7 linked regions of the Cricetulus griseus genome follow. The protein of the gene in region 5 interacts with the protein of the main gene of each other region in a biochemical or structural test. Links are inferred from orthologs where the notes say so. Each region holds a gene or a part of one and is shown on either strand. Other genes may lie near its edges. The genes, in order: Klf5, Muc1, Srebf1, Lrp6, Gsk3b, Nin and Ywhaz.

What was found.
Region 1: of the proteins of Gsk3b (region 5) and Klf5, one has a biochemical effect on the other in vitro, tested with the Homo sapiens proteins (2 studies listed by BioGRID). The link is inferred for Cricetulus griseus from reciprocal best matches to the Homo sapiens genes GSK3B and KLF5.
Region 2: the proteins of Gsk3b (region 5) and Muc1 form a complex in vitro, tested with the Homo sapiens proteins (2 studies listed by BioGRID). The link is inferred for Cricetulus griseus from reciprocal best matches to the Homo sapiens genes GSK3B and MUC1.
Region 3: the proteins of Gsk3b (region 5) and Srebf1 form a complex in vitro, tested with the Homo sapiens proteins (2 studies listed by BioGRID, with this or other methods). The link is inferred for Cricetulus griseus from reciprocal best matches to the Homo sapiens genes GSK3B and SREBF1.
Region 4: of the proteins of Gsk3b (region 5) and Lrp6, one has a biochemical effect on the other in vitro, tested with the Homo sapiens proteins (2 studies listed by BioGRID, with this or other methods). The link is inferred for Cricetulus griseus from reciprocal best matches to the Homo sapiens genes GSK3B and LRP6.
Region 6: of the proteins of Gsk3b (region 5) and Nin, one has a biochemical effect on the other in vitro, tested with the Homo sapiens proteins (2 studies listed by BioGRID and IntAct). The link is inferred for Cricetulus griseus from reciprocal best matches to the Homo sapiens genes GSK3B and NIN.
Region 7: the proteins of Gsk3b (region 5) and Ywhaz form a complex in vitro, tested with the Homo sapiens proteins (2 studies listed by BioGRID). The link is inferred for Cricetulus griseus from reciprocal best matches to the Homo sapiens genes GSK3B and YWHAZ.

The regions. Positions count from the first base shown.
Region 1 is NW_023276807.1:251,134,878-251,138,377, reverse strand, and holds part of Klf5 (Krueppel-like factor 5), read right to left. Parts: coding exon 2,928-3,500; intron 1,717-2,927; coding exon 1,657-1,716; intron 1-1,656. UniProt on the Homo sapiens protein: Transcription factor that binds to GC box promoter elements. Activates the transcription of these genes.
Region 2 is NW_023276806.1:65,326,002-65,330,194, forward strand, and holds the start of Muc1 (mucin-1), read right to left. Parts: upstream 2,801-4,193; 5' UTR 1,539-2,800; coding exon 1,481-1,538; intron 870-1,480; coding exon 1-869. Other genes in the region: Thbs3 (thrombospondin-3), read right to left, coding at 4,128-4,186. UniProt on the Homo sapiens protein: The alpha subunit has cell adhesive properties. Can act both as an adhesion and an anti-adhesion protein. May provide a protective layer on epithelial cells against bacterial and enzyme attack.
Region 3 is NC_048600.1:74,353,841-74,358,013, reverse strand, and holds the start of Srebf1 (sterol regulatory element-binding protein 1), read left to right. Parts: upstream 1-1,373; 5' UTR 1,374-1,403; coding exon 1,404-1,494; intron 1,495-4,173.
Region 4 is NC_048601.1:14,501,183-14,504,682, forward strand, and holds part of Lrp6 (low-density lipoprotein receptor-related protein 6), read left to right. Parts: intron 1-344; coding exon 345-481; intron 482-1,431; coding exon 1,432-1,529; intron 1,530-3,500. UniProt on the Homo sapiens protein: Component of the Wnt-Fzd-LRP5-LRP6 complex that triggers beta-catenin signaling through inducing aggregation of receptor-ligand complexes into ribosome-sized signalosomes.
Region 5 is NC_048597.1:51,920,621-51,924,120, forward strand, and holds part of Gsk3b (glycogen synthase kinase-3 beta), read right to left. Parts: intron 2,151-3,500; coding exon 2,044-2,150; intron 1-2,043. UniProt on the Homo sapiens protein: Constitutively active protein kinase that acts as a negative regulator in the hormonal control of glucose homeostasis, Wnt signaling and regulation of transcription factors and microtubules, by phosphorylating and inactivating glycogen synthase (GYS1 or GYS2), EIF2B, CTNNB1/beta-catenin, APC, AXIN1, DPYSL2/CRMP2, JUN, NFATC1/NFATC, MAPT/TAU and MACF1.
Region 6 is NC_048598.1:133,256,439-133,260,709, forward strand, and holds the start of Nin (ninein), read left to right. Parts: upstream 1-1,471; 5' UTR 1,472-1,639; intron 1,640-2,022; exon of another isoform or gene 2,023-2,108; intron 2,109-2,130; exon of another isoform or gene 2,131-2,422; intron 2,423-4,271. UniProt on the Homo sapiens protein: Centrosomal protein required in the positioning and anchorage of the microtubule minus-end in epithelial cells. May also act as a centrosome maturation factor.
Region 7 is NC_048603.1:14,723,766-14,727,707, reverse strand, and holds the start of Ywhaz (14-3-3 protein zeta/delta), read right to left. Parts: upstream 2,801-3,942; 5' UTR 2,661-2,800; intron 160-2,660; 5' UTR 149-159; coding exon 1-148.

The sequences.
Region 1 (3,500 bases), on a different chromosome or scaffold from region 5:
TAAGCAGTTGATTACATCGTTATATGCAATTGCACACTTCTTTTATTATGGGACTTTAACCTGGAAAATGCATTCCCTCCTTCCTATCTCTGGTTTCAAGGACTTCTGATGAGGGGAAAGGATACAGAAGGGAGAGAGGAGGGGGGGGAGGGAAAAAAAGCAATAGCTTAAATGTTCCAAAACCCAAGTTCAGTGTTCCCCAAACACTAGTACGGAAAATGGCTATTTCAGTATTTTTTTATTTATTAATTTTTTTTATTTTTAGTACTTCTGTACGTATTGACTGTATTTTGGAAATTTAAGATTGGACTTTATTATAGGCTGGACTATTCTGTTTGTGATTGCCTGCAAAAAAAAAAAAAAAAGCCTCAGGCCCAAACAATCCATTCTATCACAGAATGCAAGAGATAGCCCTTTCTGGGAAAGCCCTGGAATCTGCCGCATTGTTGCCGGTACCATTTGGATTTTACTAAGTGTTTAGCGTTTGAATATCAAGCACTACTTCCTAACACACATACAAAATGTCTGCAACCACTCTCTTTCAGGGCTCTGGTTCGTCGACGACCTTTGTTCAAAGGCTTTTACTTTTTAATGCAGCAGTTAGAGATAACTACTTCATTTATCAAAACTCAATTTCCATAGTAACATCTAGCCTGGGGAGATTCAAGTCCTCACACTAATCCAACAACCCATTCAAAGGAACTGCTGAATACTTTGGTTTCCATAGCAATGATGGAATAATACATTTTGCTAGGTCACTGCTTTTATTAGCAAACTTATTCTTTGAACTTTAGGTAAGGAAGGTGTATTTGAGGAAAAAATGCAGTCACTTTTATCTGTTTTTCCTTCAGGGCTTCTTTTTTTAAAAATTTTGAAAGGAAATTACACTAGTAACATTATCCAGACACTTGAAAATATGGGTATGTGAAGCCCTTTAATAAAGCATGCTACCAAATTTCATGTGAAATGTGGTTTTGGTAGGTTTCAAAATTAATAGATCCTACAAAGGATTGCTGTGAATCTAACAAAACAAATCAATCATTATAAAATTAGAGATAAAACTTAAACGTAGGCTTCAAGTGAGGATGCAAGGGAAACGGACTAAAGATGGGGACTCAAACCTATCAAGGGCTGAGGTTGGGTGTGGAGTGATGTCTAAACTATTGCCCTTCATTCTGACCACCCTGCAGATTTTAGGTCTACTTTTCAGACACAGCAACTATGCTAAACACAAATATTTGAAGCCACCAGTGTTAAGCACTAGCGCTTAGCATGGTAAGTGGAAGTTTTTAGGTTAAAAGGGCTTTATTAAAGCAAAATGATTTACCAAGAATTTTTTTCCCCTTCTTTCAAGACAGGAATAAGCATTGTCATTTAAGTTTTAAAATCCATTAGTAAACACTGCTGTTTACGTTTGGGGGGTCATTAATTCTCTGTGAGGTGACAGGGCAAGGTCTCACCGAGGGGACTCTCTCCTGGAAACAAGCTTTCTTGGGGGAACCCAGTTTCGAGGCAAGCCCTTGCTGAAAAGGTAGGCCATTAAAAAATAAAAGTTGACAGAAGAAAGAAGAGATCAAACATGTGCTGGCTTTTAAAAGGATGAATGCCACTTATACTATTTACACAACTCACAGAATTAACAAGAAAATTACCTACCTGTATGAGTCCTCAGGTGAGCTTTTAAATGAGACGACTTTGTATAAACTTTTGTGCAACCTAAAAGAAAGGAGCAGAGGAAGAACAGCTTGTCATTTCCAGGGCCTTTTGAAATCTTTACATTTGATGATCCGGTGTTTTAAATCTGGCTTTAAAGACGAAATCTCTTGTGCTAGATGCAATATTGGAAGATTTGGCTAAGCAGTTTCAAGGTGCCCTCTCCCCTCGACCTTATTAGAAGGTGCAGGTGATCCCACCTATGTATCACGTTGAGAGCAAAGAATATGGGTAATCCAGTCAAGCAACAAATGGAAAATTTGTAATTCTATTCCAGTAGGTACTTTTTTTACTCTAACATGTGCTTCAGTGACTTGATAGCTAATACATATATTTTTTAACTTACTGGATGTAGAGATGACAGAGCTAAGTCATTACCCAAGATGACTATAATTTTCTATACCCCTACTTTGTTTTTTTCTTTTAGCACGCCACATCATGCACCATAGTCAATAAATTATGCCCTATATTAAACATAAACTCGCTTACGCCAGCAACTTGAACATATATTTATTACTGTCAAATTATATTTTGGGTCACGTATCTCATTCAAGAATGAGCGCACACTAAAGGAACCGTTTTTTGGTTTAAATCTGTCCTGTAAACAGCCTTCTAGTTTCCAAGAGGTACCTACCCCTGAACTTCATCACCACATGACTGTCTCCAACCCTATTTAATCTCCAGGAGACTTTACAACTTTTTGCTGTGCTTTATTCAAGACAAGGTTTCTCTGTGGAGGTTCGGAGCCTGTCCTCGAACTTACATAGATCCGACCTCCTCTGCCTCCCAAATGTGAAATTCAAGTTTTATTTACTACTAAAGATTGAGAAATCTTAAGTTAACTAAGTCTCTAGAATGGCCTAGCCTTTAAAAATGTGTTTGGAAATTGTTATTTAAGAGGCAGGATCACGCTACGTAGCCCAGGCTAGATTTAAAGTGTAATCTTCCTGCCTCAGCCTCACTGCTGGGATTAAAGGCATGAGCCATCATGTCTGACTGGCCAATTTTTTCAATACATAAAACAAGCACTGGACTAGTATCTAATTACACACCTGGACAAAATGCAGAAACAGACTACTAAGAGAAACTAGGTGATTTACTTCTTACTGTCAAATACACCCTTGCTATATATTTTCATGCCTAAGGTTGAAAACAGTGCGCACACGCAACGTAAAACACTACTGACTCTTCAAGCACACAGACCACATACATACCAGGGTAATCGCAGTAGTGGATGCGCCGTTTCTCCAGATCGGGGTTACTCCTTCTATTGTATCTGACAGGTTGGATGCTTGGTGAACTAACTGGCAGAGTGGCAGGTAAATTCGGATTGCTAATTGCCAGTTTAGAAGCAATTGTAGCAGCATACGATGGAGGTGGAGTTAAATTCTGGAGCATCTCAGCTTGTCTATCGGGACTTCCAGGCTCTGAGCTCGGTGGCGATGGGGGAAAGTAAGTGGCCTGCTGTGGAAGAAACTGACTTGGCATGGTGTATGTGCAAGGGGGCATGCCCTGGAACTGTTTCATTGCAGTCTGCGGAACAGCAGAGGTGTGTGTGTTAAGGCCCGCCATGGCGGCAGACATGGATATGTTAAGGGTGTCCATTATTGCTGTCTGGTTTGTAGAACTAGGCATGTCTAGATCCGGTGTATTCAATAGCTGGTACAGGTGGCCCTGCTGGGAAGGGACAGAGAGATGAAGATCTGGCGTAGGAAGTTCTTGTTTGATGAAGATATTGTTCACCTCTGGAGCTGTGTTCTGATGGGAGCTGAATATACTGTTGAACT
Region 2 (4,193 bases), on a different chromosome or scaffold from region 5:
ATTACTGATCGGAGTGGTGGCTGAGCCCAACACAGAGCTGGTAGTTGGCACCAAGGAGCCATTGTAGACTGGGGTGATGGCAGAGGCTAAAGTAGCCTTGGTAGTAGAGATAGAGGTGCCACTGTAAACTGGAGTGGTCTCCAAGTCTGGTTCAGAACTATTAGTCATAGAAGAGGCACCACTGTGGGCTGAACTGGTAGCTGATTCCAGCGCAGAGCTGGTAGTTGGGACCAAGGAGCCATTGTGGACTGGAGTGGTGGCCGAGTCCACTGCAGAGCTGGTGGCTGGGGCTGAAGAACTATTGTGGACTGGAGTGGTGGTTGAGTCCACTGCAGGGCTGGTGGCTGGGGCTGAAGAACTATTGTGGACTGGAGCGGTGGTTGAGTCTACTGCAGGGCTGGTGGTTGGGGCTGAAGAACTATTGTGGACTGGAGTGGTGGTTGAGTCCACTGCAGAGCTGGTGGCTGGGGCAGAGGAACCACTGTGGACTGGAGTGGTGGTTGAGTCCACTGCAGGGCTGGTGGCTGGGGCTGAAGAACTATTGTGGACTGGAGTGGTGGTTGAGTCCACTGCAGAGCTGGTGGTTGGGGCAGAGGAACCACTGTGGACTGGAGTGGTGGCCGAGTCCACTGCAGGGCTGGTGGCTGGGGCAGAGGAACCACTGTGGACTGGAGTGGTGGCTGAGTCCACTGCAGAGCTGGTGGCTGGGGCTGAAGAACCACTGTGGACTGGAGTGGTGGCCGAGTCCACTACAGAGCTGGTGGCTGGGGCTGAAGAACCACTGTGGACTGGAGTGGTATTCAAGGTTGGGGAACTGTTGGTGTCCAGAGATAAGACGACACTGTTTTGATCTGGAAGGGCAAGAAAGCCTGAACCAGAGTTGAAGGTGGGGAGTAGACCATTTTTATGCTCACACACCTCTCAACAGAGATGGATACTAGGTTGCTTTGGATAACCTGCATGATTTAGAAATTGTAAAAACTACTGGGTTGGTGAATAAAATCAGAGGAAGGAGAAAAATATAAACTCCAAAACCAAAGTAACCCCAGAAGGGGTATAAGGTTGGCGTCAGGCAGTCCCTGTTTGCCTTCTTCCTTGCTGACAACCTCCCTGGCTAATCTCTCCCTCCCTAAAAGACTCAACCCTGCTTCTGGCTAATTCATTCCTCCACTACTTATTTTTGAGACAAGGATTCATACTGCAAGCTGGCCCTAACCTAACCGCGGCACATGGCCCCATTCTCCCACTACCATTGTCTCTCCTGACACAACCCACCTCCACAAACATCAGAGCATTTGCCTCCTACGGTGCCTACTCTCTTGGGGGTCACATCTTCTCAGCCTGTGTCCTTAGCCTCTTTCATTCTGGCACATAACTGGGTCATCTTTGTCTATCCTTTATGCCATCTAACAGCAAGCAAAAGAACGGTGAGGAGTCCCACCTGAACAACGCACCTCCACCCCAACCTCATGCCTCTCACCTGTTACAAGCACTAGAAGGAGCGTCAGGAAGAAAGGAGCCCGGATGCCTGGGGTCATGGTGGTGGTGAAGAGGCGGGAAGAGGGCAGAAACAGACTCAAGGCAGGAGCTGTGGCGTGTGTGCGGTGGAGCAGCTCTGGTGCCCGCTGCTTTATACCAGTACCCCTCCCGCCCTAGGCACAGCCAGAGCAGGTGACAGGTGACAAAACTCCGCCCCCTCCCCTATCTTTTCCTCCTCCTCCCCAACCATTCCTGTGTAGGGTACTTGGGCTCCAATCACTCAATCTTATGACTACTTGTTTATTCTCCAGTTGGCTTCCCCCCTTTTACCAAGCTCTCCTTGACTTCCCCAGGTGTGTTTGTGGAGGAGACCTGGGGCCCCCTGGCTCTGGTTTTAGCCCCAGAGCAATGGTCAAGATGGGGAAACGGAGCACAGAAAGGCCCTGGACAACTAGCCCAGGGAAACCCATCCCTAGGTTCCCCAATCCCGTTTCCTATTCTCTCTGCGGATCCTTAAAAACGGCTTTCCATAAGTTGAGAGGACACAAGGGGGCTGGATAATAATGGACAAGTCGCTAGTTTCAGGCTCCCTCCCCCCATCACTTCCCGGAATAGCTCCACCCTTCTAACCGCTCCCTGTACTCTGAAAACCACAGTCTCCGCCCCTGCCAGGCTTTCCAGTAGCCTGGGTCCCTGTTTGGCTTGCTCCTGAGAAAGGCGGTGGGGGGAAATTTCCACTTAAAAAGGACGAAACTGGGGCTCTACCGAAGCCTAAGGTCGTTCCTACCCAACTCTCCACCTTGAGTGGCAGGCTGGCCGGTCCTTCTGGCCGGGAACGCCTGCCCTCTAGTGGTCACCGGGAGCATCGCGCGGCCAACCCGCACGGGCCGAGTGGCCGAGGAGTTGAGACCCTGTGGGGAGTTTTGACAGCACACCCCAAGTTGAGACCGAGATCTTAGGGAAGTTGGTTGGGCCTTGACGAAAAGAGTCAACGCCTAGAATAGGTAGGAAGGAATGCACAGTGCGGTGGAGGAGCAAGGATCAGTGCTTGGGTTACTCAGATGTCTGGGGGGCGGGGGAGAGGCTAAGTGTGCGGGGAGGGGGGCACCTAAGGTATGTGGTGGGGGCAACAAGTTTAGCGATAAGGACTTCGGATTGTGGGAGGGGGAGTGGGACAGGTTATGTTCAGGCAGCTAGGTATTTAGGAGGCAGAGAATAGAAGGGGCGACCATGAAATTTGGGAGCTCAGAGCTGTGTTAGGGAGAGGAACGATATTTGGAGCAGACAGGCACGCCACGCGGTGCAGGGCAAACCCGTGTGTGTGTGTGTGTGTGTGTGTGTGTGTGTGTGTGTGTGTGTGTGTGTGTGTGTGTGTGCGCGTGCATTTAGGGAGAACCGAGAGGTATTCTGAAGGGCAGGGACAGTTGGGGACGGGGAGGGCTTTGGGCTCACAGCAGCATGTGGACTCAGAGTACCAGGCCAGATCCTGCAGGCGTAGGTTTGCAGTTACAACTGTAGTAGGCCAACAATTCTTAGTCCCAACGAGTACAAAACAGAAGCTGATACTTTAGAAACTTTTCGGAGGTGCGTAAATGGGGGCGTGGGACCCACGCTCCCGCCGTGTATCGCGCCTCTGAGCGATTTTGTGAGGCCGGCCCTGGGCGGAGTGAGGACGCCCTACGTCAGCGCGCCCACAAGAATTTAGGTAGGCGGGCCCCAAACCCCAACTCCTGGGATTGCCAGGCAACAGCCAGTCAATTTGGTTGCTGGGATACCAGTCACCATGACAATAGCTCCGCGCCTCTCAGTCTGAGTATTTAAAGAGCAAGCGCGCGCACTGCTTCGACGTTGCAAAGTGGCCTTCCAGGGCATGGGGGGGGGGGTTCCCCTTCTCTCTTCACCCTTTCGCCCCCCCTTTCACCCTTCGGGCACCCAGGCTCTGGTGTAACTCTAAAGTGACCCCAACTCTCCAGAGCGCCCCCAGTCCCTGGGTTCCAAAGGCCCAGGTGGTAGGGAGCGGGATTCCGGGGCCCCGGGCGGGCGGGAGGGACGGGACGCGGTGCAGTGTTGTTCTTTCCCCCGCCAATATTGCACTCGTCCCGGCCTCCGGCCCCCTCGGCCCCCCCGGCGCCCCCTCACCCAGAGCGGGGGAGCCCCAGCCCTGGGCTTTCGATCACTGCGGAGCTTAGAAGGGTCGCCGCCGCCACGGTGAGTAAGTGGGGCTGGAAGGACTTTAGCCCATCTTCCAACCTCATCCTTCATTTGGTACTTTTCCCACCCACACCCCAACTCAGTCAAACTTTCCCTGGCTCTCTAACCTGCGCTACCAGCCTTTCTAACCCCTCGGGCTCCTTATTGTCCTAGAAAAGGCCTAAAATAAGTGATTGCACTGACTTAGAAAATAGCTGAAACTTTATGGCAATGTGCTGATGATGTCTTTCCTGGGGTTCGTACCTGAGTAATATACCCCTTGAAGGTCCCCCAACCCCTGCACAATGGGGTCACCACCCCTCTGGAGCTGCGCTCCCTGATGGGTGCCAGAGAACCATCAGTTAGGCTGAGGAGCTGTAGATTAGACCCCAAGGTCTCCAGAACAGAGTCCAAGGTCAAAGGTCTCCAGTCAGGGTTCTGAATCTGGTGGCGGCACCTCACACCCTTCCCTGGAGCAGTTGCCTCCGGAATGGCTCAAAGTCCTCAGGCACTGTGTCTGAAGA
Region 3 (4,173 bases), on a different chromosome or scaffold from region 5:
CAGGTCCTTGTTGGCCAGGCTGAGACCCCACCCCGCCCAGGATCACCACACCACGCTTGTGTTCTAAGCACCAAAGACCCCAGCAAGGGGTTCTGAGATCTTTGGTGGGAGGTCTCGGGTGTTTGAGACAGAGACCACCAACTTCCTCTGAAGTTCTCCAAGCCTTTACCAGGAAAGCTTCCCCTTGGCTGCTGCCCTTGTAAGCCCACCCTGTGGAGCAGAGGTTTGTGTTGGGCTTTGCTCCGAAGGGAGCTTTCTAGTCGTGGGTACAGGTCTTTCTTTGACTTTACCTTCGGCTCCCCCAGTCTTGCAGCAACGGAATGTGTGTGTGTGTGGAGCTATGTATACATTTTACTCAGTTCTCAGAAGGTGTGATGTTGTGATGATTCCAAACCCCGAGCCCTTTCCCGCAGAGACTCTGGACAATTAGTGACCCTGGCTACACACAAGCAGGTGAGGCATTAACTCAACTGACCGCTGAAGACCCTCACCCTTCTGACTGCGAAGGACTGTTTGAGTTTTCAGGAAACATCAAATTCCTGGGTCTTCTGATGGTGGTGGGAGGGACAAGGCAGAGTGGCCCCAAAGCAAGGGCTCCATGTCGGGGAGAGGTGGTTTATAGTTCCAGCACTCCTGAGCACCTTACTCTGAGTAATTTTCTAAGCAGCCACACTGGGAGAGGGACAAAAATGTGTTCAGGTGGAAACCAGACACACACTCCATCCTTGCCCAAAGACAACTAATTCTGCTGGTTGGGAGGTGAGAGCAGTCGCCCAGTCTGTACCTGGAGTCTCAGCATGGCAGTTCCAGCTGGCCTGGGGTCCTGACCCTGGGGCGGGGGCGGGCTACCCGGTTAATTCTTACGTGTTGCTGCTGTCTCCTCACTTGCAAATAGTGTGGACCAGAAAGGTTTACTTCAGTCCACCCTAGAGGAACCTATCCCCTTCCACCGGCTTTACCTGTCCCTAAGTCACAGGGCCCAGGGTTCACTTTTCAGTACTCAGGCTGCTGGCCTGGCCTGGGTCTAGGTCATGATCTAGGCAGCTGAGCTCAGTTCCCCTGGGCTCCTTTTACAGAGTCGCTGCTTGACCTTGGGATCCACACTTTTTCTAGGTCTTCCAGGAGACCAGAATCTTCCTTTAGGAGCTGTTCAGGCCCACTGGCCCTCTCTGCCCCAACAGCGGGATTGATAATGGATTAAGACAGGCTACGGGAAACCGGGCTCCAGTCGGCTTTCTGAACCGTCTAGGTGAGCTGTCTGGAGCCTGCAGATGCCGGTTGGTGGGCAGGGCCTGGCGGGCAGCCCCGCCCCTCCGCTTGGGTGGCTCCGCCTGCGGAACCTAGTTTCCGAGGAACTTTTCGGTAAGGCGGGCCTCCTGCGAAGCCTGGCGGGCGCCGCCGCCATGGACGAGCTGCCTTTCGGTGAGGCGGCTGTGGAACAGGCGCTGGACGAGCTGGGCGAACTGGACGCCGCACTGCTGACCGACATCCAAGGTGCGTGGCCCGGGGCTCCTGCGCGGCCTGTGCGGGGTCGCATGTCCTGGGAGGTCACTTGGCCGGGAGCTTCTGCGCGTGCGTGCGTACTGCGCAGTTGTGCGCCTCGGATTGAGGGTTAGCTCTCCAGCTTGTGGTGGGCTTGGTTTCTGGACTCGCTGAGCATCCGCTGAATTCCAGGTTGGGCCCTGTGGACAGTTCACGGGCCGACCTGGGTTTTCTCGTTTCTTGGATGCACCAAAATCCCCAAGCAAGCCCACAAACGGATTTTTACATGCACCTGGGCATGCAAGTATCTGGCTACTTTGGATCGAGATCAGGGAGGTCTCTTAGGTGTGTTAGTGCTGGGGGGTGCCCCGGCATCAGCAAGCAAAGATACTTTCTAGCGGAGGACAAGGTAAGAGGCAAAGGCCACTGGGGCGCTACCTAAGTTTGAGGAGTTGGGAGTGGGGGGCGTGAGACAAGGAACACAGCTTCTGCTCTCCGAAATATTTTTCAAATTTTGCTATTCTGGGGCAGTAACCCAGGATCTAGAACATATTAACAGGCTTTCTGCCCTGAGCCACACCCTGGGCCACTTAGATCTTTTAAAACATCGCTTGAACTTGCCCAGCTTGATTCATCTCCATCTTCAACCACCACCACCAGCTGGGGTGGGTGTGGGGGAAGAAAACAAAAACAAACTGGCATTTGGTGGCGCTCGCCTTTAATCCCAGCACTCAGGAGGCAGAGGCAGGTGGATCTCTGTGAGTTCGAGGCTAGCCTGGTCTCCAGAGAAAGTGCCAGGATAGGCTCCAAAGCTACACAGAGAAACCCTGTCTCGAACCCCCCTCCAAAAAAAAAAAAAAAAAAAAACCAAACAAACCAAACAAACAAACAACAAAAAAAACCCCAAACTTTCCATACCATAAGATGTATACATGTTAGGCGGGCCATTCAATAACCTCTGGTGGCTTGTCAGCAGTCTCGAAACATTGAATCTCTCTTGCCTGTTTGAGGGCTTCACACTCTTCTCCACCCCAGACAACCACGAATGTGTGTTATCTATAAACTACAATGGTGCCCTGGGATTACTGTAGAGTGTTCTCTCCCTTACCCCCATCCCATGATCTGTTGATAGACACCTAGCGTGTGCTGTGCCTAGATCCTCATTGAGCTCCAGAGGCAAGCCTCTGGGAGAATCACTCAGAGACCCACGTGTGCTTGTCGCTGGGGCTAGAGAGGGGTGACTTGGGGGTAGAGGTTGGGTCACCTAAGAGGAATGAGGGTTGAAAAACATCTGGGCAGGCCTGAGTTCCAGATATGGCTAGGGCAGTGGGAGAAGGGACAGGAGAAGGAGAGTGACGTTGTTTAGAAAGCCCCTCTTCAGCACTGGGGTAGGCCATCATAACATGGGTGGCAAACCCTTCTTGAGCACTTGGTGTGTGGCAGGCACTATGATGAGGATCTCAGTGGGTCTTCTGACAATCCCAGTTGGAAAACATTTTCATCTCACAGATGAGAGACTGAAAAGCAGGCTAAATGACTTGTCCAAGGTCACACAGCCATAGCAAGGCAGAGCCAGAATTCAGACTCAGGCTGCTGGCTCAAGAGCCTGGATCCTTGGCTCCCAAGGCTGGATTAAGAAGTCAGCCATGCAGCTGTCTCCCTCAGCCCAGAGCAGCATTGGTCATAAGACTGGAAAGTGGCAGGGAGAGCCAGCCAATGCCTGGAGCCCAACAGCCCACTACCACCTGTTGTCCTACAAATGTCCAGTGATGTGGGACTTACAGCCTTCTTTCTTTCTGAGGGTGATGCTGAGCTCAGAGCATCAAGTCCTGCTGCTGGCTGTGACCTCAAAGCAGCTCCTCCTTGTTCCTGGTGTCAGGTCACTAGAGGCTGGGGAGAGGAGCCTGTATGGGGACTACTGGGAGGCTGGTGGCACTGTGCACTGAGGACAGAGGAGGCAAATGGACATAGTTCTGGTCTGAGACTGGCTACTTACTCTTGGAGCCCTGGGGAGCCCAAGGCCTGGGAGAGACAGCTCCTCAATAGCTGGTCTGTCTGTTGGCCCAAGATGTATGCCTAGGTCCAATGCCACTTACTGAGAAGCCCTCCTGAGTTCTGACCCCTTTCTTGTGCTGGCCTTACACTGGATCTGTCTATGTTCTAATATTGTATGACTCTCCTTAGGGAGAGGTGTCTATGTATCTGATAGGGCACTGTGACAGACTAAAGAAAGGATTCCGTCCAAGTCCAGCTTCATGCACCGGTGAGTTTATTGGTGTCTTAGTATTATATTGCATGACCACAGCAACTCTTACAAAGGAAGCATTTCATTGGTTTCAGAGGTTTAGTCCATTGTCATCATGGCAGGAATGCATAGTGGCATATACACAGACATAGTGCTGGAGAAGTAGCTGAAAGTTCTCTATCCAGATCCGAAGGCCAGAAAAGAGACACTGGGCCTGGCTTGAGCTTTTGAAACCCAAAAGCCCACCCCTAGCAACATACCTCTAAGAAGGCCACACCTACTTCAACAAGGTAATACCTCCTAATCCCTCTCAAGTAGTTCTATGCCTTGATGATCAGCTGTTCAAATCTGTGAGCCTGTGGGGGCCATTCCTATTCAAACCTCCACAGTTGGTGTGGGTGAGCAACCACAGGATCCTGCAGACTCCCAGACAGCTGTGTCACTGC
Region 4 (3,500 bases), on a different chromosome or scaffold from region 5:
AGGCTTTGCTTTCTTTGGAGCTCATCTGTCAGTTTCATCTACCCTGGTTCCCAGTCTTTGTCCTCAGTCCTTTTTTTAAGAAGTCTTCCGTGAATACCTCTCACTCTGAAGGGCTCTGTTTCCTTGGACCAGGCCAAGTGGGAGCAGCTTGACTTATTAGAAGCCAGTTCTCAATGGAACCATTCCTTTCAACATTCATTAATTTTTTTCATTAACTCTTTACAGCTATTACTAGGGAAAGAGGACGTAAGCTGTTCTAGTTGGGCTGCTTGTAACTTCAATGTTGATTCATGATTTTATATATTTTTATAGATGCTACTCATCTTCATTTTTATCTCCTTCAGGAATGTCTCGAGGGAAATCAATGATCAGTTCCCTCAGTATCATGGGGGGAAGCAGTGGGCCACCCTACGATCGAGCACATGTCACAGGAGCATCATCAAGCAGTTCTTCAAGCACCAAAGGCACTTACTTCCCTGCAGTAAGCAGCCTGTCTTTGCTATGTTTTTCTTTCACTGTTAAAATACGTAGCATGTTCGATCAGTTCATTTAAACGTGGGTGCTCAGTGATGGTAATGTAAAAATAGTTGTTAATATAAGATTGAAGTACATAGGAGTCAGTGGGGAATATACCACCACTGCACTGTACTTGTAAAGCTTTAAGTTTACTCTGTAATAATCAATGTAGCTGAAAGCATAATAATAATTTCACAATTCAAATAAAAAAATAAACCACTAAGGTACCAAACAAACTTAGGACCTTTATTTTGTAAGCTGCTAAAAGAAGAAGCATGTGGCTGGGGAGATGGTTCACTCTGTAAAATGCTTGTCTCGTGGGTGAGAGGACCTGAGTTCCATCCCAGCACCAAGATAAAAAGCTGGGCCTGGCTCATAATCCCAACACTGCAGAAGTACAGAGAGGAGGATCTCTGGAGTGCATTGGCCCACCAGTTTAGACTGGTTCCTGAGTTCCAGGCTAATGAGAGCCTTCTTAAAGGAGGTGGACAGTGTTCCTGAGGCTGCCATTATGGTTTCCTTTGGCCTGCAGCTTCATGTGTGCATACATAATCTTGTACTTAAACATATAAAAATAAAATGTAAGAGGAAGCACATTAGAATTCCTCTTAATAATTTTCTACAAACATAGAAAAGTTGTGTTTAAAAAATTAGAGACTGTCTGTGCCAAACAAGCCAGTGATGTAGGTGACAGTCTTTTTGTTTTGTTTTTCTTACCACTTGTTCAGGATAAAGAACTTGTGGTTAGGAAAGTGGAGCCAGTCTTAAAGTGCTATTTAGGTAGTTGTTTTGAAAAGAATCCTACGCTAAAAGTGCAATGGAAAAGAATAGACAGGTGAGGAAATAGAAGGTAAAGGTGATCTGCGTCTATGGGAAGGTATTGTTAGTTTAATGTTTTAATTGTTTTCCTTTTAGATTTTGAATCCACCACCGTCGCCTGCCACAGAGCGTTCTCATTATACCATGGAATTTGGTTATTCTTCCAACAGTCCTTCCACACACAGGTCCTACAGGTAAGACACTGTCGCGTGGGATCGAGATCCACTAGACTCAGTGCAGGTGAAGTGAAGTCTATTCAGGGAGAATGCACTTACACAAGACGCTGGTGACCAGCGCAAGTTCCAGTTCCAAGGATCCTCCCAGGCTGCCCTCTGTGACCCAACTGGAAGCAAGAGAGAGCACTGGGGTCCAGGACCCCAGACCTAGTCCTACCCTCCATCAAGCCCACACCTGTGACCACGCCTGTTTGGGTGTGGTCAGTGCTACAGGCGTGGGTGGGGTGGATATCTCACTGACATACTTTTTTTCCATATTCCATTTGTGAATATCCTAAGCCTCAAATGAACAGCCCATAATCACCAAACAAAGAGTAGGATTCTTGTCTTGGCAAGACTTGATTGACATTGTCCACCCCCAAATCTTTTCTTTTTCATTTTATATTTTAAAAGAGAGTTACATAGCTGACTTTTGGTTTTTCAAGACAGGGTTTCTCTGTGTAGCTTTGGAGCCTATCCTGGCACTCACTCTGGAGACCAGGCTGACCTCGAACTCACAGAGATCCACCTGCCTCTGCCTCCCCAGTGCTGGGATTAAAGGCGTGTGCCACTACTGCCCGGCCACACAGCTGACTTTTAGAGTAATGCAGTTGAGGACTGGGCGAGACAGGTCAGAGTTGTAAGAGCTTGCAGGCAACAGGAGAGTGGGTCATAGACTCTGAAAAACTCAGAAGGAGGTTGACCCACATTACATGTGTCACTGTGACCTGGAATGAAAGATTTTCCATGTAGTTAGTTGCATGGAATAAACAAGTCGTCATACGGGGCATGATGCCTCCGTGCTCATTGTGAGTGTGTTGGGTAGGTCTGTTATTGTGTGTGTACCTTACTCTTCCATCCTGTTCAGACACCAGCAGAAAGTCTGTATTCTGTCTGAAACCTGCATGCTGTGACTGTGGTCCCCAGTGCCTGTTACCATTTGGATAACATTTCCTTTCCGTCACTCTGGCCTGGCGTCACTTTGTAGTGATGGAAATAAAATGGAAACTACCTACCAAAGTCAGTTAAGACAGAGATAGGGTTGTCTCCAACATGATTGTTTCCATGAGTCATTGTAAGACTTCTTTGCATGCCACTGTTTTATTCTAAAATGACAAAAAAAAAAAAAAAAAAAAAAAAAAAAAGCCGAGGCCTGAAAATTGAAAAACAAGACCAGAACCAAAAATTTCATTTAAAAAATGTACTTAGTTCACCTTGAAGAAAACATCAGGCAAAGTATACAGCTGCTTTAAATCGTTTCCCATGTCTAAAGGAGGCTACAAATCTATGTCAAACTTTATCAATTGTCATGATTTTACCTAAGCTGAGATTTCACAGAATTTTGTTGATTGGCTTCCTTTTTTCCTTCTTTTTCTTTATGAGATTAGAAGTTTTTAGCCTTTTAAATTTTAACCTAGAATATTTCCCCAGGCTTTGTCATCTATTTGGACAGAAAGATGAAACAAAAAGCAAAAGTGCTATGGTAATGTCTTGTCTTTTACTGTCTTTTACCAACACTGATGGTAAAAGTTCCAGGAACCTGTTCAGTGGGGCCTGTGGGGCAAAGCTGAGTGATAGCAGGCGTGGGTGCTGTGTCACTAGGAAATTTATGAATTCCCCATCAGTTATTCTCATCTTGCCCCCTGTCTTGCAGTCACTGTACTTTCAGAGACAGTTTATTTGTGGATCTTTAGGATGAGTATAAAATAAGCTTGGTCATACATAGAAAAAAACTTGTAGAAATCATACATAGACAAGCCAGTATTTTAGGTCAGCTCTTACCTTCATGAGTAACTATAGATTATTTAAAGGGTACATAAACAAGTATAAACATGTATTAAACTCTTACACTGTGTTAGAAAGTTCACTGGCCCTCTGGGCATTTTAACTGTACTTAGCACAGTATATCTGACCATGCAGAAATCAGAACTACTATCAGACAAATTATGA
Region 5 (3,500 bases):
AAATTTGTATTTTATTTTGATTACATAGTATTGGTTATATCCAAATATGGCAATAATTTAGTCAGAATCAGTGATGGTTTCATTCCAAGTAATGTTAATTAAAAAAAAATCTATTCATATGTTTGAACCCTTTTTATTTTTTAACAAATAAGTATTTTTATAAGTATTCACCTTTTACAAATCTATTTTGTGTATGTGTGTGTGGGGGAAAGAATTGCAGAGAAAGAGAGAGAGAGACAGACAGACTCATTATGTAGCCCTAGGTTGGTTAGAATTCACAAGAGATCTGTCCACCTCTTCCTGTGTGCGGGACTGTATCAATCTTACACAGCCTTAGGAAGCAAGGTCAGGGCTGGAGAGATGGCTCATCCATTAAGAGCACTTGCTACTCTTGCAGAGAACCTAGTCAGGGCTGGAGAGATGGCTCATCCATTAAGAGCACTTGCTACTCTTGCAGAGAACCTAGTTAGATTCCCAACATCCACATGATGGCTCACAGCCATCCATAACTCCAGTTCTCAGAGATTCAACATCCTCTTTTGACCTCCACAGGCACTGAGTATTCAAGTGGTATGCATACATAAATGCAGGCATATGTGTTTATATATGTGGTATACATGCAGGCAAAACACTTATACACATAAATTTTTAAAAATTTAAGAAGCAAGAATCTTAGATCTGAAAATGGATCAAATCCATGTTTGTTAGGGTCCCAAAAGCCCTGGCTCACACAAACATTCTATAATGTGTCAGGAATTTGGTTGTAACTATTTTAGGTGAGCCTAGTATAATTCAGTCCAGTATCTTATACATACATACATACATACATACATACGCACGCACGCACGCACGCACGCACGCACGCACACACACACACACACACAGAGAGAGAGAGAGAGAGAGAGAGAGAGAGCATAGATAACCAATATCAAACATTTGACTAAGACACTAATCATTAGATATCCGATAACATTCCCAAGGACAAAGAGTTAAAATTTGCTCTTGGGGACCACTGAGCTAATAAATATACTAAGAAAGTCTGTTACCTTCCATTCTTATACTGGCTCATTAACATTTTATTTTACTCCTCCAGCAACCATGAAAAGCAGGCAGAATTAGAAATGATCTTCATTTCACAGCTCAGATAGAGGACACCTGATGTCAGCCTCAGCTCCCCACCCTCACACAATTAATGTATGAAATAAAATAATTTTGTCCTTTTTCATCTAGCCTATCAATGCTGGTTTTGTCTTGCCATTCAGATTCAGCGAGTCATGGTCTTTGTGCTGACACAGCAACTGTACTAGAACAACACAAAGGCAATGAGGATTTCAACTGTCTTGAATCCTTCTATCATTAGACATCTCCCTCCACTGAAATTTTTAAACCAGCAAGTTTAGCTGAACAACTAATGAATTAAGTTAACCTAAAGTGATGTATTATGGTAGGAATTCAAAAATATTATTGCCCTATCAATTACAGTATTAACATTTTAAAAGTAACATTATTAATTAACCAATATTCTAACTAGGTATCAGGCTCAGAAGTAAATATTTCAGGAGAACTAGAAAACTAATACAGGACCCACAGATAGCTCAGTAGATAAAAATTCTTGCAGTGCAAGCCTGATGACCTGAGTTTGATCCAGAGAACCTATATAAGGGTAAAAGGAGGGAACAGACCCCAAAAATTGTCCTCTGACGGCTACATGCAAGCTGCATATAGCATATTTCTTCCTGTCATTGATCCCTGCCTCATTAATATTTTTAAAACACTTACCTGAAGAGTTACAGTATTTACACTTTACTTCAAACTTTAAGATCAAACAAATACATTAGCTAACTATAATGCAAATACTTTTAAAATTCTAATGCTAAAAAAGCATAATGGAAAGATATACATAAAATTCTAAAAGGTTAAAAAAATTTAGTTGTATACATTTCTGCAAAAATATATTGCAGCCATGCCCTTTTCATGTCAGAGAAACTGTAAGAATCAGGGTGCAATTAACAGTTATAAACTGTATTCAGAGTCAGTACTTACCTATGCTAGAGGTATAATCAGTGGCTCCAAAGATCAACTCTGGTGCCCTATAGTACCGAGAACAGATATAGGAAACATTGGGTTCTCCTCGGACCAGCTGCTTTGCACTAATGAAAAAAATAAAAATAAAAAAAAGCAATCTTTAAATCCATACCTTAAAGAAACAAATACTCATATTCACACACCATATTTGTCTCAACCTCACAAGACTGCAATAATGCAACACACTTGCAACTGTTTTCAATGAAAGAAATACACAATTTCATCAAATTGATATAAGAAACAGTGATTTTTAAAGTAAGCATTTGTCAAGTGTTACCTAAGGAACAAAGAGATTAAAAGTTCAAAAGGATACACATGTTCAGTTTCTTCTGGTTCCATGTTTCCTAAATTCTACTTCTGAAATGTAAAAATGGTTGCAAGGCATGGCGATGCAACACCTTTAATCCCAACCCTCAGGAGACAGAGATAGTTGAGTCTCTGTGAGATGGAGGCCAACCCAGTTTGCAGTGAGACTTATAAGGTCAGCCAGGGCTACACAGGAAGACCCTGTCCCAAAAAATAGTAAATAATTAAATATATAAAGATAAGGGGCAAGAAATTTAAAAGGAGCCTTCCCCAGCAAAAGAATGACAGTGGATCAGAATAAATGAATATATCAATACTCCTCACCAACACACTTTTTTAAAAAGGGTAATAACTGCCGACTGTTTTATATTTGACTTCTGACTCAGGATGGCCAGCTCAAGGCTTACACAACCAACCTATGCATGATTTGATATTTTAGTCAGTTTGCTATCTAACCACCTGTTTCTAAACAAACTGCAAAAAGGCATTCAACTTGAGGGGGAAAGTGACTCAGAACCTATCCATTCCATCCCTGCTATGCTGTTTACATATTATTGCAGCTTTGCTCCTGAAGTATTTTACAGTATATACACTTAAAACATTAAAGTGAATTACAGTTAGCATCTCTCAAATGTCTCTCAGATAACTCATTTCAAATCAGCAAGCCACACTGGGAGATGCACTGACAGCAGCGTCACAGACACAGGAGATAAATACAGGCAACAAAATCACAACAGAAAACATCTGAGGTAAGGAAGGGCACAGGAAGGCAAAGACACAGCCAGGGGAAAATGACCTTTCAACCTTAAAGTCTAGGCTTCCTTCCCCTCAATTTACTTTTAGTCAATGATGATGCTAAACTTAACTTGTTTTCCCTTCATTAGCAGTTTCACAATTTAACCTTCTAGGGCCCACATTAATGGTTATTAAACAACCATAATATTTTCAGGCTATCAGAAAATCAAGACACTTAGCTTTCAGTATAACTAATAATGGACTTTTCTATCTTCAGAAGTGCATTTTGGGGGCTTGGGATATAGCTCCTTGATAAAGCAGCTGCCTAGGATGTGACATTTAAAGTTCAGCTCCCAGACAAACAAACAAACAGC
Region 6 (4,271 bases), on a different chromosome or scaffold from region 5:
GGGTTGATAAATGGTGTTGACTAACAGAATAGCTGTGTTTACAGTTTGTAAGTTTCTGTGTGCTAAAAGGGGGAAGGGAGCATAAAATGCCTCTTATTTCCCAGATGCTCTCTCTGTGTTGGAGAAAGTTTTGGATTTTTTTTTTTTTAGATAACTGGCTTTGTTATATGTATTTCCTAAATTTTGAGATAACTGTGGATTCATACAAGGAATCACAGAAAGAAAGCCTCAAAATGCTTCACTCAGTTTTTCTCAGAACTGTAGCACAATACAAGCAGAAAAAAAGAATTAGGCTTTAGTTAGCTGGGGCCCCCACTAAAATCTCACCAGTTTCACAGTTCTGGGTTGTGAGTATTAGGTTCTAGGCAGTTTTGCAGCATATGTGATGTTCTTCTGAATCCTAGGTCTGTGAAGGGCTTTCTGTGTGAAGCCCTGGGTTTCATGACTTCCAGTTGCCTGCTTTGGAAACGCTATGGTGTCTAGCCCCTTAAGGACTTCCAGTCTTCTGGCTTTTAAAATGCTGTGGTGTCTGCTTCCTCGGGGTGCTTGTCATGAGGAACAGGTCACATCTGTTTCCAGAAGCCTGAACTTGCCAGTTTCCTTTCTGTCACCTAGAATTTGTCTAATGTTCTTTCGGAAATAACTTGTGGGTATAATAATGCAGGCAGATCTTTCTTCTCGAGGGCCATTCTTGGATCCCAGGGAGGCATTGCCTCCTGCCTATAGCTCGCTCCACCTCTAGCCTGGGTTTGTGGTCCTGTTCGACTAATTGTGTTAGGAAGTATAGCGATGGGAGGAGAAACCCCCCGAGGTAAGGTAGCACTTTTGAGGGTGCATGTGGAACAGGTGTGGGAGAAAGCTGCAGCCGCGGCGGGAACCCGCACAGTAACCTCAGTGGACTAAGGACCACCAACTCCAAGGACTTTCTGTTCTGCTACTATGACAAAGGATTGACTGCACCCTCAGAAGGCTATACAAGGGCCAGAGCAACTGTAAGGATGAAGGGCAGCTACAGATTATCTAGAAGTGGTCGGAGGTCCAGAGGGTTCAGTGCTCTCCAGGGCCCTTTGCTCTTTGGTACCCTTTCCCAGGACCTTCAAACGACTCTCTAGGGCTGGGAAATCCAGGGTCCCCTGCAGGTTACAGAGGTACCCCAACTTCCACTTTAGGTCTATCAGGCTGGGGGCTTCACTCTCCAGAGACGTTGTGGGCCTTGTGCCAAATCACCAGGTGCTAGCGGATGCCTTTGAGAGGACAAGGAGGCTGCAGGCAAGGGACCGCGTGGTGGCAGTGCCAGCTGGTGCGCCGAGGCGACCTTGGGGTGCCGAACCCGCACGCAGAGCCAGGGCGTTCCCAAGTTCAAATCTCTTAGGCGGGGGCTCGCACCCGCGGGCTCACAGCCGCCACCCGCTCCTCCCTCGGCTGCGGCGAGAGGAGGAGCCGCGCCCTGGCCGGCGTCCCCTTGACTCCTCCCTACGAGGCCCGGCTCTTCCTCCCCCGCGGCCCGATCTCCGGGTGGCGGCGACTGAGCCGGGAGCGAGCGCGCTGGGCGCGGCAGTCCGGTATCGCCCGGCGGAGCCCGAGAGCCCCGAGGTCATGGTCTGTGCTGTGGAGCGGGGCGCCTGAGCCCCGGGACGCGGTGAGCGACAAGCTGGGGATCCCCGGGGGTCGAGCGACCTGGGAGAGCGCGAGGCCTTGGCTGACCACGCGCCGTCTGCTTAGGGACCCCGAGCGTCCCACGCCGTGCAGACCCGCAGATCCCGGTCCAGCACGCGGTGGCGGCTCGGGAGGGGCGCTGTCGCCCGCGGGTGGCGGCGGGGGAGGGGGAGGGGCCGCGGCGACGGCGAGGGCGGGGGGATGAGCCGGCGTGCTTTTGTGAGCGCCGGCCCCTTACATATGGAAATGACGCCCGTGCGGGTCCCCAGTCGCGTCCTCTGGAAGGACGCGTGCCCGGATCGGCGGCGCGGGCTGCTCGGTGTCGCGGCGCTCGCGGGGCCCTAACAAAGCGCCCTTTCCTTGCAGAGCTCCGGAGGCGGCTGGCGCGGGCGCTCCCCAGAGGCCGACGGAAGGTAGGCGAGGCCGGCGGGGCCGGACCACCGATCTGGCGTGTGAGCTCGGCGACCCGCGGGTGGGCAGGTGGAGCGGGGACGCGGTGCGGGTTGCTAGGGACCTGGGCTGGCCCGCCCTCCCGCCACACCTCCGCCTCCCAGACCTGAGGCTTCCCGAGCTGAAAGCTGTTACTGTGTCTCGCTCCAGCGGCGGGCAGGACTCGGAGCGAGCAGAAAGGGTTCTTGTTCTGTGGGTCGAGGCCACCCAGGCAGCCCAGAGATCCAGAAGCCGGCGCGGGGAGCCCCTGGGTGTCGGCCTCCGCCTCCCGCGAGCGCAGAGCCGTTTGGAGTCCTAAAAGTGGAGATTTTAGGAGGTGCGTGGGATCCGTGCAGGTAGAGAGAGACTTTTGGGTGCAGCTAGCAGCGAAAGGAAAGGCGACAATGCATTTTGACAGTTGCTCTGAAAACTCGGTCGCCAGAGCAGAGGAGTGTGAAATGAAGTGAGGAGTGGGTGTAGGTGGGGAAGGAGTAGTCGAGACTGGAGTCGGCACTGCAGTTCCATCCCCACTTCCTCCGAAAAAGACAACTTTTGGAAACCAGCCTCCCCTAAAAGCTCTCTGTGAAATTGAGAGACTGGAAGGGTGATGTTCGCAGCCTCAGCCGGGACAGACCCGCGAAGGTGCAATTGAAGGGGAGCTGGAATAGTGCCCTGTCACAGATCGGGTTTCCATACAACTATTATGAGACGGTCTCATCGTCCCTCACCTGGGACAGACCCTCTCCGGGCGTTGAGAAGTCTTGAGAAGGCTTTCCATGCAGCTCGACCAGAACCGATTGTGTGGTTGTCTATGGGGCTGCCACGGGAGCTTTTAGGGTGCTCATCTCAATCTCTTCATAGCACTCGAAGGCTCCTGAGACCACGAACTGTTCTCAGTTGAGTTCTCTCAGATACATCATGTTGGCATGCATTTATCTATTTGCATGCTTCTCGAGGCCTAATAAGCCACAAGGAAATACTTTGATGGCATCAGTGTAGCTTATTCTAGGGTCTTCTCCAGTGGTAGCATGGGCTTTTACAAGCTAGCCTGGAATATTAGTATTTCTTGCTGTGGAACTGAAAGTAGCTATGAAATACCCAGACTGTTTGCCTGTAACATGCCAGGCGGGCTGAGAGAGGAGTTTGTGTGGTTTCTTCATCTGTGGTTGGTGTTCATAGGGAGGAGATGAGAACCTCTGGGGACAGGGGTATTGGCAACCTGTTTATTTTCACGGCTCTCTGGTGCCTTAGAGGGAAGCACTCTGAGCTGCAGTGTTGAGAAAGCAAAAGGATTGTCATAAGCAAAGGCATTGCCAACACGGATACTGGGGCAAAGAAGAAGAGCCTCGCTGCATGTGGTCCTCGTGTTGAAATGTCACGGTTCAGTCATTTTAATAGGTGCCTGCTCAGAATGTCACAAGTTCTGTTTTCTTATCCCTTTTTCATTTTAGATATGTGACGGTCCTTCCTATCAAAGGATGTTCGCTCATAGGGCCGGAATAGGGAGCCACTGAATTCTGAGCACCCAGTCTTTTTAATAGGCAGTTCTTATCATGAGTCAAATGTTGTTCAAATAAATTGTTTTAAATGTCACTGTAAATGACTTTCTAAACTACCATTTCACCAATCTTGATGCTTCCATTTTATGTTGATAATGAAAATACATTTTATGAGTCTTACATTGATAGAGGCTTGGCAGGTATAACCAGAACATTTTAGAGGGAGTCAGACAGCTAGAGCCATTCAAAAGGCTTACTTTTATAGATGGCGACTCATTTGTAAGCCAATAAATAATGCAGTTTGAATTCTGGCTATTGATCTTGCATCTGTTGGCCAGAGGCTTGTGGGGTGGTTCAGTGAACCTTGCCAAATGACATATTTATCTGATTACATTTACAAAGAAGATACTTTAAAACATTATGGAATTATGCAAATGCTTGCTTCTTTAGGGCCATTTGTGTAAGCAGTAATAGCATGTATAGATGTGATAACAGAACTTCTCCACTGTGCCCTAGGGAGCTTATAGCTTCACCTATCCTAAATGAATTTATGTAAATATGGTTCAAGAAATGAAAGTTGTTTCAGGCTTTCTTTTTTTGTTTTTTGTTTTTTTTTTTTAAGAAAAAAAAGTAAGAAACACAAAACTTTTTTTCTTCTTTGATTTTTTTTTTTTGTTGTTCCTGTTG
Region 7 (3,942 bases), on a different chromosome or scaffold from region 5:
TTTTGTAAGCAACAGAGAGGAGATTCCTCTCCTCATTAGATAACTCAGCTCCTTGCTCGGTTACAGATTTCATGCAGGCTGCCATGTCATCGTAGCGCTCAGCCTGCTCGGCCAGTTTGGCCTTCTGCACCAGCTCATTTTTATCCATAACTGGATATTCTGCAAAGGGAAGAAAAGGGATATTCAGAAAATTCCTATTAGAATAGCTCCTTGTACCTGTAACAAGGTATACTAGTATCTTAAACCACGGCAAGTTAAAATACAGCCCCTCCCATCAACCAGAAAACGTACATACCGAGCATATTAACAGTGGCTTAGCAAATGGCAGACGCCCCCCCACCTGTTTAGGAGACCCCCAATTTCAGGTAAGATCAGAGCATATATGTGCTACTCTATCATCAAAAGCCACCTTCAAGCTGTGACACAGACCTGTCATCGCTCAGCCTGCTGTCCCTTGCTGTGTATTCCAACACACTTGTTTTCTTAAAAAGCTCAACTTAATCCCAATGCAGAGTGACCTACACTTCACCACCTTTCCCTACAGTGAGAGGGTAAGTGTGAGTGTGAGTGTGAGTGTGAGTGTGTGTGAGTGTGTGTGTGCGTGAGTGCGTTGGGGAGAACACTCCAGATCCGGACCTAGAAGGTCCATGAAGAGCACTCCACTCGCAGAACCGTGAGTCAGGCCAGCTAACCTTCAGTGTGTGCACTCTGACCCCGAGTGGATTACCTTTTACCTAGCACTTTCTCCAGCCCGATCTGCTACACTTCCTGGATGAAAACTATCTGAGGAAACTGACTGACTGATGCTTAGGATACCCTGAATATAAAACCACTAGGGATCACTCGCCCCGAGACCAGACAGACCCATCTACATGGAGTTACATGCACACTTTGCGCAGCAGGGAGCGAGCACTCAGGGCCAACCCAAGCGCAGGCGCCCCCTGCGATGTCACACTGCAGTTTAGGTGCAGACTCCCCCTGCATGGCTTTTCTCCAAGTCACCATTTATTAAGTCGGCCCTAACGTCTTCTCCGCCAATCTCCTTTGCAGTTCAAGTTCCCTAGATCCCAATTTATTTCTGATCAACTTTTTTTTTTTTTCTTTCCTTGAACGGGGTCAAGAGCACGGTTCTCAACCACAGGGATCCCAGGAAATGAATTTCCATGACAGTCACTGCCCAATGCACCGCCACCACCCAAGGCCACCATCGCACCCTTTCCTTTAACCTTTCCAGAAATCGCTTTTTTGGGGGGTGGGGAGGGGTGGTGTGGTGTGGGGAGGGAGGGGGCGTTAAATCAATGAGAAGCATCCTCAACTGAAACAAGCGCCGGGGCCTGGCTAGGCCGAGTTAACCCTTTGCGGTCTGGAAACCTCACACCAGAAACGGCCCTGGGAAGTGATGTCAGCGCGGCCCCGGCGGCCCCACCCCCGCCGACCTCAGCCGCCCGGTTCCCCGCGGGAAGCACACGAAGAACCAGCATCTACACTGCGGGAGCCCTCGCCGCACCCACTTAACCCTCGCCTGCCCGGGGCGGGCGGGCGGGCGAGCGGGGGCGAGCCGAAACCGCGCCCCAGACTTTTTAAAGCCAGCGCCAGTCCTCGCTCGCGTCCGCGCCGCCCGCAGCCACCTCCCCTTCTTGGCTCCGCCCAGGCTGGCGCCTCCGCCGGTCCCCGGCTCGCTCGCTCGCCCTCTCTCTCTCTTTGTCATGGCGGAACTGTGTCAAGGAGCCCAACCCAACCCGAGCACCGCCGAGCCGAGAGGGAGGAGCGGTCGGGTCGGGTGGGGTGGGGTGGTGGAGGTGGGGGGGAGGAGGCGGCGGCGAGCGGCTCGCCCTACCCGGAGGGGGCCCCCCGATGCCAGCCAGCGGCGCCCGCACGAGCGGAACCGACGGCGGCCGACCCGCACCGGACACACCCCGCTCTCTCCCTCCCGGGGTCCCCCCTCCCGCCCCCGACAGCTGCGGAGGAGGAGGAGGGGGATGGGAGGGGCCGGGCCCCACCCAGACCGGCGCAGCCCCCGCTCTCCCCGAAGGATGCTCACCTCCCACCCGGCCGGAGACCCCCCTGCGTCCCCGGGGCGCCCAGGCCGAGCCCCTCCCCCAACCACCCACCCACCCACCGAGTGTGCGAGCGTGCGAGCGAGTGAGCCACCGAGAGGGACCCAGGAAGCTCAGCCCCGGGTCCCCGGCGGGAGGGCAAGCGGGAGGGCGAGCCGGCCCCACCCCGGAGACTCGCTCTCTCTCGCGCGCGCGCTACCTGGCTGCCCGCGCGGCGGGGGAGGGGCGGCGGGGGCGCCACGGCGGGGTGGGGGCCGCCTCACCTGCGCCACGGCCCCGGTCCCAGCCGCGGCGGAAGCGGGTGCCGGCGGGGGCGGATGGCGCTCGCCCGCTCGCCCGAGCTTCAGCCCTACCCCCCCCAAACCCGGGAGGGTCTCGCGCGTGGGCGCCTCCTCCGCCACCCCCACCCCCGGGGACACGGGACACGGGCGGACGGGGCGACCAGCACCCCGGCAGGGCCAGCAGCAAGCGGCCCGGGGGCGGCCGTGGGCGCTCGCCCGGGGCTCGGCGGGACGAGCCGCCGCCCGGGTCCAGGATCCTTGGGGACGCCCGCCGCGGCGGGGCGGGCGAGCGGCGGAGGGGCCAGCCCGGGAGGCTGCTCACCTGTGTCCGGAGTGGGTGGCGGCACACGGACCCGGTCGGCAGTGTCCCTGGGCGGCGGCGGCGGCGAGGCTGAGACTCTGTCCCTGATCTGGCTGCTCACAGGCTACAGCGGCTCCGCAGACACGGGGTTTCCTCCAATCACTAGCCCCGGCAGCAGGGGCACCACACGCACAATGACGTCAAACGCTGCTATGGCAACCGTTGATTGGTGCCCGGCGCAACCGCCGCTCCCCCGGCGCGCGCCCGCCCCGCCCACCCGCTCGCTTGCCCGCCCGAGGCGAGCTCAGGGAGAGCGCGTCCCCGACCCTGCCTCCTCCTCCTCCTCCTCCCGCGCGCTCGGCTCGCCCCCGCCGCCCCCGCGAGCCGCCCTCCTTCCTCCTTCCCTCCTCCCTCCCGCGCCGCCCCTGCGGCCCGCGGAAGGAAGCCGCTCCCTCCCCCCTACACCTCTACTGGCGGGCACATCCGGGACCTTTCGCGTCTTCCCCCCCCCCCACCCGCCCCTCCCCCTCCCGGCCGCCCCGGTAATGACGGCGGGCTCTGCGGCCGGGGCATTGTGATCAGAGCCCCGGTTGCGGGGCGGCAGCGGGCGTGGCCGCTTGCTAGCTCGCCCGCTCGCCCACCGCTGCAGTAAAGCGGCCTTAGACCTTTTAAGGCTCGGGCGAGCCGCCCGCTGTCCCTCCTGTCGCCCCGCACAGACCGTGACAGCCAGGGAGACAATGGGGGGTCTCCGGGAGGAGAGGGGAAGGGCTTGTGCGAGCTGGGGGGACACAGGCTCACACAGCGAGCCGATCTCCGGGCGCTGCACTGTTGCCCCCCCCCCCCCACACACACACACAGCCGGGCTTTGACGGGGAGGCTCGTTGTCTCCACTTAACGCTCTCAAAGAGCCTTTTAGGTCCTGGGAGCCACCTTGGGGATACTGGCTGCTCGCTCTCGGGGCCCCCCATCTGACAGTGGGAGGGGGGCCGCTCGCCCGAGCAGGGGCGGGAGCGCCTGGGCCCGGAAGAGGGGGTAGGAAGAGGGCGGAAATTGCAGGTGCCTGCACCCGCAAGGTCTCCACCCAGCAGACGGAAGCGGAGGGAGAAGCATTCTCAGCGTGAAGCGTGTGCCCTTGCGTCCTTTAAACGTGCGTCCTGAGTTGAAGCAAACGCCTTTACCCAGCTCCTGCTGGCTGGAAAAAAGAAAAGGGGGGAAAAAGTATTCAGCCCATAGCTCTCCAGAAGATTCCACGACAAGCTGTTCTTCCCCCAACTCAGTGTCTGTCTGTCGGATACATGGTCTG